Canis lupus familiaris: one gene and its partner. The protein of the gene in region 2 interacts with the protein of the main gene of each other region in a pairwise test. Links are inferred from orthologs where the notes say so. Each region holds a gene or a part of one and is shown on either strand. Other genes may lie near its edges.

Region 1 (4,828 bases), on a different chromosome or scaffold from region 2:
TTATTCGAGAGAGAGAGAGAGGCAGAGGGAGAAGCAGGCTCCATGCAGGGAGTCTGATGTGGGACTTGATCCCGGGCCCCTGGGATCATGCCCTGAGCTGAACGCAGGCGCTTAACCGCTGAGCCACCCAGGAGTCCCATATCTATGTTTTTCTCTGTAACATAGCAGAGTCTCCGGGAGCAGCTACCATCTGGTTACCTAGTTACTAAGGTCATATTTCCATTGCCCCAAAGAACTTCAGTTACACTCAGCTTCTACCTTGATCCTTGTACAGCTCTGCAGAGCAAACCTTACTCAGCTCTGAGCGGTCTTTGCAAGTGGGGCCAAGGAGCCACCCTGAGCCACAAAAAGGACATTATGTCACCGGAAGCCCAAGCCCCGAGAACACAAGGTATGACCCAACAACCTGTGGCCCCGGCCAGGTCTTTGTTTGCAAGGAAACACTCTTGTCTCGGGTCTAGAGAAGAGACAGCTGACTATGTTTTTGTGTTTTTTATGTTTCTGTTTTTGGTTTTTGTCAGTTTTTTTTTTTTTTTAATTTTATTTATTCATGACAGACACAGACAGAGAGAGAGAGGCAGAGACACAGGCAGAGGGAGAAGTAGGCTCCATGCAGGGAGCCCGATGTGAGACTCGATCCCGGGTCTCCAGGATCACGCCCTGGGCTGGAGGCGGTGCCAAACCGCTGGGCTATCAGGGCTGCTCCAGCTGGTGATTTTTAAGAAGATGCAGGTTAATTATTCCAATCCACTTTTTGAGATCTTGTTTTATTCATGATGACAGTCCTCAGACTGGATGATGATTCCACTTGGAGGCCACAGCTAGGCCTTTGTGTTCCAGTTGGCTGGGTGTGCCACCTGGTGCCATCTCTTCAGTCATGTTCTCTTAACAGGCAGACTTACCTCAGCCCTGCCATGTGCTCCGAAGGCACAGGAGCCCTGACTCCACGTGAGTGCCAATAAAGAAACCCTGGCTGCCGAGGCAGGCCCTCTAGTAATTCATAAATTCTTCAGATTTGGGGAAGGAGGGAAGAGAGGTATAACTTTGGTTTTGACAAAGAAGCTTTGAGGTACACGGAAAGGTCGTTCAGCAAACACTGGAACACTCCCCAGTACTAGGTGCTAACAGAGAACAGGTAGGTCACAGAGGAGAGGACCTCCAAACATTTTCGTTTTGGTGCCTGGTGTGTATTAGGGAGTTACGAAACACACGTTGAAAGGAGCAGTGCATTTGCCGTGTGGAATAGTTAGCCAACATCTTATTTCCCCATTTTTGAAGTATCAGCCTCTGTAGCTGAGCATGGGTAGCCATCCGTTTTCACTAGCTGACAAGTTTTGCTCACAACTGGTCACGGAACTTCTTGGGCGTGTATCAGAATTCGTGAAGGTAGCAGATATGGGCTGAGATGCAAGCTACCCCGAGAGGCCCCAAAGTCAAGGGCGGGGGGAGGAGGAAGTAAAAGTGGCATGTATGGCGTGCCTGGATTCAGAGCCCTGAGAGTTAGGAGGAGCTGGGACAGGCCTGAGGAGAGGCTTGTTCAGGAGCCTGGGCTGAAGCCTTGAAGCTCCCAGGGTGTTAGGAGTAACCCTTGGTCCAAGAACTTGAAGAAGGGACAGCCTTGTGATGAGGAGGGTCGAGCTTCTGACTCACATCCTTACCTGATGGTCCTTCAGACCAGCCTGGAAGCTTCTTAGGTCTCTATAATCAGCAAACTAACCGGCTGAGTGAGTTTAGCTGTCAGTAGTGAAGGAAGCAAAGGTCGGGACAGTTGTCAGGATTGTGACCGGGTCTGTTTAATTACCTGTAACAGGTGGTCTTTGCGGTGTGCTTGTCAGAAAGGGAATCGGGATGGTGTATCAGAAAATCAGGTGGGGGAGAGGGTTTGGCCAGCAGTCTGGATGGATTTCCTCAGGTGTAACTGTCCTGTTAAAGTAGGTGTAATACGTCTAGAACCCGACCAGTGCCATTGGGGTTATCTGGTTTTATGCAAATTGCTTTGCACGTCCCTAAAGTCCTGCTGACCACAAGTAGCTGTGGTTTTCAGGTGCAGACTCCTGGGGTGAAAGTGCGCTCGGGATTTTGGGTCAGCTCTGCTTCCTGTCCAAGGAGTGGTTCTTACTATCTGTCAGTGAACTGGGATTGGCTCTCCTGCCAGAGCAAGCCAAGGAATGAACTTACATGTTGCTCTGGCTTAGAGAAAATCTAGGATTCCAGAGGTCAAAGGACTGCCTGGATGATGATTGTCTTTACAACCAGGAAAATCACTTTGAGTTTGGGTGGGGATTATTAAAAACCACTATGGATGCCCCACCCCATAGCGGACGTTTATAGCTTGAGATAGCTTTTCATACAAAGATTTATATTTGCCAAGATACTAAACTAGCAGTTAGTGCTTTCTGTCGCTGGAAGGTTGGTCACGCCTTCCTTTGGAGGTAGCTTCCTTCGATGCCTGTGAGATGTTGTTTGGAGGAGGACGAGGAAAGCTGTCAAAGCGGATACTAGCCCGTTGTAAGGGAGATCTGCTTACAGCGGATGCTTGGGAAGCACGTGTGTTGGGGACGAGGTTTTAAATTGGTCTTTGAGGTCCTTTCCACTTGCTCATGGTCACGTGAACCCTTTGCCCGACTTGAGGAGTGCCCACGCCACCAGAGCATGGTGGGGCTCCCTGTGGCTCGTGCAGAGTGTGCCTATTGAGTTAATGTGTAAGCAGGAAACAGCCTCTTGTGCTAAGAGATCTATTAACCACCTGGGCTTCTCAGACTGATGACTCTCTCTTCAATTCCCCTGGATCCAGGACCTCAGCAGCCATGTCAAAGCCCCATAGTGACGTCGGGACCGCCTTCATTCAGACCCAGCAGCTGCACGCGGCCATGGCTGACACGTTCTTGGAACACATGTGCCGCCTGGACATCGACTCCCCACCCATCACGGCCCGGAACACTGGCATCATCTGTACCATTGGTGCGTGGGTGTGTCCCCCGCTGCGCCCCCCCCCCCCCCCCCAAAAAAAAACAGGGGCTTCATATGACCGTGATCTTCCCTGAAAAGACAAAAGAAATGTAGCAAACCTGGGTGCTGAGCGAGATGCTATACAGGTTCTTTGGGAACTCTGGACTCCGGTCCTAGGAAGTTGCAATAAGGAATTTTGCGTGCTCTGTGTTTGCTGCTAAAGGCAGAATATAGACAGTGTGTTGTTCCATAGCACATCTTTTAGGAGCATCTCAGAAATCTAGGGAAGATCCTTTTTTAAGATTTTATTTATTCATGAGAGACACAGAGGGAGGCAGTGACACAGGCAGAGGGAGAAGCAGGCTCCATGCAGGGAGCCCAGTGTGGGACTCAATCCTGGGACCCCAGGATCACGCCCTGAGCCTAAGGCCGACGCTCAACCACTGAGCCACCCGGGGATCCCTAGGGAAGATCTTTTTGACTTGCTGTGTGCAACCAAGATTCTGTGGTTGGACATCTGGCTAGGCTTCAGGGCCAAGTCTTACTTAGGCCTTCTTAGTTAGATGGGGGCCTGTAGGATTTCAAGGGCATAGCAAAAGCATCCCCTTAGCTCAGGGAAGTGGGTAAGCATAATATTAGTCATGTATATGCTTTTGAAAGAATTTTGAGCTGTTTCTGGGAGGAAAATTTAGGGGAAAAGGATATCAAGAGTTCTTCAAACTTGAAAGTGTTATTCCTCCTTTGAATATTTAACACTTTGGCTTTAAAACTTTTTTCCCCCTCCACTAGGACCAGCTTCCCGATCGGTGGAGACGTTGAAGGAGATGATTAAGTCTGGAATGAATGTGGCTCGTCTGAACTTCTCTCATGGAACTCACGAGGTAAGCCTCAGCTGGACAGCCTGGCCATAGGGGCAGCCTGTAGGAAATTGGGTGGCAGTGTGGTTCATTTAGTCATAGTGAATTAGGCAAGAGGAAGTCTGGGGTTTACAGCCAGCGGGACGAGTGTCTTCACTGGCCTATCCTATCATCCTTTCCCCATCTCCTGCCATCCCAGTTGGCCAAGTCTTCTTACCCAAAGATGACCTATTTGGTTATTGGCCATGGTTTTCTCACACTCGTGTACTGACTAAAGTGTGGAAGGTTTGGGGCACCTGGCTGGCTGAGGCAGAGGAGCGTGCAACTCTTGATCTCAGAGGTGAACATTTGGGGCCCACACTGAGTGTAGAGCTTGCTGGGAAAATAACTTTAAAAAAAGAGTGTGGAAGGGTTCTACTGGAAAACCCTGTAAGCCGTTAGGTAGCATGGCCTCAGTGCTTGACACCTCCTACCCCTGGGTTTCTATAGCTGTTCATATTGCAGTGATGAACCAAAAAGTCACCCTGCAGATTGATTTCTGGCCGAATGTAGACCCAAGATAACTGAGCAGGTCCAAGAGAAGAGTTTCTATACCATTGCAAGTTAAGGACCGAGTCCGATGTAATCACACTATCCAGCATACAGTACCCCACTTCATCAACACTGTTCCTAGCCTCTCTCTTCCCATGGGTTCTAGCATGTTAAAATAGAGTCAGCACACTCCCCAGCAGCCTGGTAGGAAAGGATCTGTACTGAGGCTGAGTATGAGCTGACTTGACCTGTGGACAGAGACTTGACCCAGGGACCAGGTGGCAACTCTTGGGACATGCTCCATCCCCCCTCCTGTTCCCAAACTAATTTTGAGGGAGGAGTGGAGGTTCCCTGAGGGACAATTCCTTTTAAAACCCATCGGGTTCCATCATAAGCTGTGGGATTTCAAAGTGGTATCGATAAAGAAGTAATGAAGGCGCCAGACTTAGTTCCTTCTCTCGACTTCTGATACTTTCTGTTCAGAATAAAGA
Region 2 (4,828 bases):
CACTCTTATTTGATCCTCACAAAATCAGTGAAGAGGAAAGAAGGTAGAAATCGTTGCGTGGCCATTTGAGGTCATTGAGGACGTTGACACTGAGAGCTTTAAATGGTTTGGCTTGGGGGGCACATGGGTGCCTGACATGCATCTTAGTCAGAGCTGGTAAGGCCAAGTGACTGTCCACACCCTGCTAGTTGCTCACCAAAAGGAAGATGGCCCCACCAGGCTCATCCAGGGACTGGATGGCCGTCTCCACCAGCTTAGTGGACTTGTCCAGCTGCTCCCGGTACTGCTGGATGAGGCCCTCAATGAAGCTGAGCTTATCCTCCTGCTCCCGCGTGATCCGCTGCAGCAGCTCACTCTTCTTCTCGTCCAGGATAGCATACAGTACGTCAAACTTCTGACTCAGCTCTTCCTTCACGTGGTGACTGTTCTCCTGGGGACAGAAATCTCAGAGTCACACCCTAGGGAGTCTTCCTCTCCCTGGCACATTTTTCCTGGGATGGATGTGCTAGGAATAACAAGTCTGAAGCTGGAAGAGATCTTGCTACACCCCCATTTTACAGAAGACAAAATGAAGTCTTGGCAAAAAGAAAGGATTTGCTGAGGTCTCGTAGCTACTTAGCATACCAGTAACGTTTGGAGGCTAGTGCCGTGGAGAAAGCTAGCCCTTTCCTCAAAAATAGAGACTCCAGGATCAGATGGGATGATCCAGTCTGGGCCTTCTGTGGCCTCCCAAGTCACCCCCCACCACACATACCCCTGGCCCCTATTTTAGGATCAAGACTGGATTCAGGAGGCTCTAGTTGGTTCTAGTAAGAAAGGAGAAGCAGCGACTCCTCTAGTGGCCTCCTCACTGAGGCTCCCTTCTCTCCAACACAGATGCTATACCTACAAAATAGGTATAATAATATATCTCACCAGACTGGAGGCTCTAGTATCCTCTATCAGCCTGGGAGCATCTCATGAGTAGTCCCCTCCTTCCTTCAAAGCCATCCTTCACACAGCTCTTCGTTCATCAGGAGTCTGATGACCCTTTCCCCCCCACCTCATCTCTAGGCCCCACCTCAAGTGGAAATGAAAAATCATGGATTCTTTTTCAGAGATAGAAAAGTTTCCTTCTGCCTCTATGTAGTCTTGCATGGTGTGGTCCGTGGACCAACAAGTTGGGTAAAGCCTGGGAGTTCATTAGAAAGAAATGCAGAACCTCATACCTCCCTCCAGATCTACTGAATAAGAATTTGAATTTTCACAGGATCTCAGGGGGATCTGAACGCATTTTAAAGTTTGAGAAGCTTTAGTCTACAACACACTGAAGACAGTGGTCTGAAAACTACTTGTGCTGAATAAATACTGAGAATTATTGCTGGCATGCTTCCTAAAGTCAGGGATTGGTCTGTCTTGTTCACCACTCCAGCCCCAGCGTCTTTGGCAGGGCCCGACACACAGCTGTGTTCCAGAAGCATTTGGTGAGTGAGTGGATGAATAGATTAGTTGGTTTCCACTCCACCACCCCTGCTTGAACACCCCAGCCTCCAGGCCCCAACCATTAGCCACAGCTCACAGCGGAGCCTTCACCCCAGAGAACCAGGCTTCACTGAGAGGCCTTGGACCCCTAGACAGAACTCTTCTCCCCCTCACCTTGGTCACTCGACAGGAGTCCTCCAGCTGAGTGATGATGGTCTGCATCCGGTCATTCCCCGCTACCAGCATGGAGATACAGTTACTCAGCTCCGTCTAGATGGGAGAGGGGGTGAGGGATCAGGAGAAGAGAGATGAAAAAAAAAAAAAAAAAAAGGAGAAGAGAGATGAAATAGTCCCAGGGCCTGTCTTCTCAGGAATGGCACCCTCACTCCCCTCTCTGCTAGAAAAAGCCTACATCTCTAGAGATACTACATCCCTTATTTTACAAATGAGGCCCAGAAAGGGGAAATGACCAAAATACAAACAGCAATGTACTGTCAGAGGAGGGGTTTGTTTTTAGGAACGAAGAGATACAAAAAAGAAATAGAGAGTTCTAGAAGAGAGAGGTCAAGAGAAGAGTGGGAGGCAGGGAAGAAGTGTCCAGAAAGAGGGGCCATAGCTTACTGCATGGGCAGGATTATGGACTCCCACAGGCCTCAGGGCCAGGGAGAGGGCTCTGAGCTACTTTTTCTGCTACAGGAGAGGTAACCAGCACAGGAAGAGGTATCTGGGGCCCCAAGCACACTGGGATGTAGAAGTCATGGCCTGAGAGGACCCTGGTGGCCTGGCCCAGGGGTCTGGTCTCTCGCCTGTGGCCACACCCAGGTGCTCTCAAGTGGCTCTAAGTATAACCCATGAGCTCAGCCACCTCCCCCAGGAAGGCAAGGGCTGCTGTCCCTGTGGCCTGGGAAGTCCCTCCAGAGGGACTATTCCTGAAAGGCCGGCTCAGCAGATCTACAGGGATCAAATCTACATCCTGAATCATCTGGCCATGCCCCACAAGCCCAGGCTGGGGGTAGAAGTGGTATAAGCCAGTACCTTTTGTCCCTGGAAGACGCTCTGCAGGGGGGCCACCTCACAGGCCTTGTGAGCCCCAAACACCTTGCACATGGAGCACGTGGGCATCTCACACGTGAGGCAATAGATGTTGATTTTCTCGTCTTCATGCTCCTTGCACATGGGGTGGCTGCCCTTCTGCAGGGGCCGACTGCAGAAGAATCACAAGTCACACAGTGGGGGGGGGGGGTCCCGAGTCCCTGTCTCCCCCCACCCCAGCTCTGGGTGGCAACTCCAGATCTATGGCCTGAGCCCTCAGTGACTGGCTGTACACAGTCCTTTTCATTTTCTGGATACCCAGAACCAGGAAAGCCAGTGACACCAAGGCTATCCTCATATCCTTGGACTCAAACTCCAGTGATGAACATGGGAAAGGTTGTAGAATCCCAGAACTGGAGATATTTTTGAGAAGAAGAAACTGAACCCCAGAAAGGTGAACTGACTTGTCCAAGGTCACCCATCAAGTCAGGGCAGGGGAGGCAAGAGTGCATTTGCTCTAATTATAGTCCCTGTAACTCCTGGTTACTGCAGGCTAACTTTGAGCAAAGCAATTTATACTCATGGCCTCACTTAATTCTATATTTAATCCATCAGACTGTAACCGCATCAAAGCAGGGAAACTTGCCTGCTCCCGGCACCTCTGAATTTGCAGTGTACAGTGTGTGTCATGGAGGAGGTGGTTATTCAATACAGGTGGAGAGACTATACCAGTAAGCACACCATGAGGGTGCCCCCAGGCACAGAGAGGGAAGAAATGTGTGTGCCCCAAGTCACACAACCAGAACACAGGCAGCCCAAGGATGAGTAACAGTTCAGCTCAAGCCTTGACTTAAAGTCCAGAAAGTCTTTCCAGCATTCAGAGTTTTTTCCTTCCCAAACACACATTCTTAGAATGCTTTTCTCCCTCGGTCTGGTTCTCTACTTAGGGGCCTCTGGCATGTTATCTATGCTTCTCGCAGGGCATCAGTTGCTTCCTATCTGAGGCTCAGTTTTTTGTGTCTAAGTCCTACCCCTTCATCTAGACATATCATTAAGAGCCAACACCATGTCTACATCACCTCTGCTTTCCCACTCTGCTTTCCCAGTCCCTAAAACAGCAAGCATCTCACAAATGTCAAATGGTGACTGTCCCTTGTCTATGTCAATGCCTCACCTCTGAATAGCCTTGCACAACTGGCCACACCCCAGACATTATTATCTCCCCAGGTTTTTAAATAAGTCCCTTTTCAGACTTATCTCTTTTTCATCTTTTATCGCAGGGCCCCCCCCTCCCCATGCTGGCAGGAGTCTTCCTTTGCCACCTGTCTCTACCCCCCCGGGAGGGAGCTCTGGAATGGCAGTAGCTGCAGAGATGAGCTAAGATCCTGAGGGTCTGGTGCCTGTGCCCACTGCCATGCCAGATGCCCATTCTCCTGAAGCCCGGGCATCAGCATCTGGGTTTAAATCCAGACTGTTCTGCTGCTCACTCATTTTGTGACCTTGGGCAAGTGATTTCACCTCTCGGAGCCTTGGTTTTACCCCAGAGCTACTGGGATCAGGGCAACTATCAGCAATGAATGTATAGAGCCTAGCACAGAGCAGACCCTCAATAAAGGGCATCTCTCACAGCCATTTGACTGTGTAGAAAGGCCCCCGAAGGGTTCAAGCATAAACCTGCTCTTCAGAGGTCGATACTCGAGGTGAGGGGCTAATATTTGGGTGCAATATTAATTTTCTTATTGGAGAATGGTCAGCAATATTTCTGTACTTTTATGGAGTTTTACTCCAGGAACATAGAGGCAATAGCAGTTAGGAATATTCACCATAGAGTCAGTTAGGCTCCCTCTCAGCATCACGGCTTGCTGAGCAGCCTCGGGCACACCTCTGACCTTCTAGGAGCCTCCATTTCCTCATTGGAAAATGAGGGTAAGAAAGTAGTATGGATTACTGTGAGAATTAAATAAAGGTCACGCATGGAAAATGCTTAAGACGAGGTGCCTAGACACAGGAGGTGTCCATACATATCTGATACTTTTAACATTTCCCATCAAAACCCTATTTGATAGTCACACTAACAAACCTTACCATCCTCCTCTGCTGATGGATAAAATGAAGGCCCAAAGATTCAACCAAGTTCCCACAATACATTAGTAACAGAGTCAGACTAGCCGACGGTTCCCCTGGTCAGGGCTTTTTCACACTAAGATTGGTCTGTCACTTATCCTGGGGCAGGACACTGCCAGGCGGGCAACACTGGATGATGGTTTGGGACCCAAGGGCCTGAGGGCAGTGGCCTGGGAGTCTTGTCAGGTGTCAAATTTGTAAAGAGCTCCCT

Evidence for each region. The genes of interacting proteins can lie anywhere in the genome.
Region 1: the proteins of TRIM63 (region 2) and PKM interact in a two-hybrid assay, tested with the Homo sapiens proteins (3 studies listed by BioGRID and IntAct). The link is inferred for Canis lupus familiaris from reciprocal best matches to the Homo sapiens genes TRIM63 and PKM.

The regions. Positions count from the first base shown.
Region 1 is NC_049251.1:36,167,334-36,172,161, reverse strand, and holds part of PKM (pyruvate kinase PKM), read left to right. Parts: intron 1-274; coding exon 275-391; intron 392-2,794; coding exon 2,795-2,961; intron 2,962-3,738; coding exon 3,739-3,830; intron 3,831-4,828. UniProt on the Homo sapiens protein: Catalyzes the final rate-limiting step of glycolysis by mediating the transfer of a phosphoryl group from phosphoenolpyruvate (PEP) to ADP, generating ATP.
Region 2 is NC_049223.1:73,296,504-73,301,331, reverse strand, and holds part of TRIM63 (E3 ubiquitin-protein ligase TRIM63), read right to left. Parts: intron 2,666-4,828; coding exon 2,497-2,665; intron 1,732-2,496; coding exon 1,636-1,731; intron 431-1,635; coding exon 197-430; intron 1-196. UniProt on the Homo sapiens protein: E3 ubiquitin ligase. Mediates the ubiquitination and subsequent proteasomal degradation of CKM, GMEB1 and HIBADH.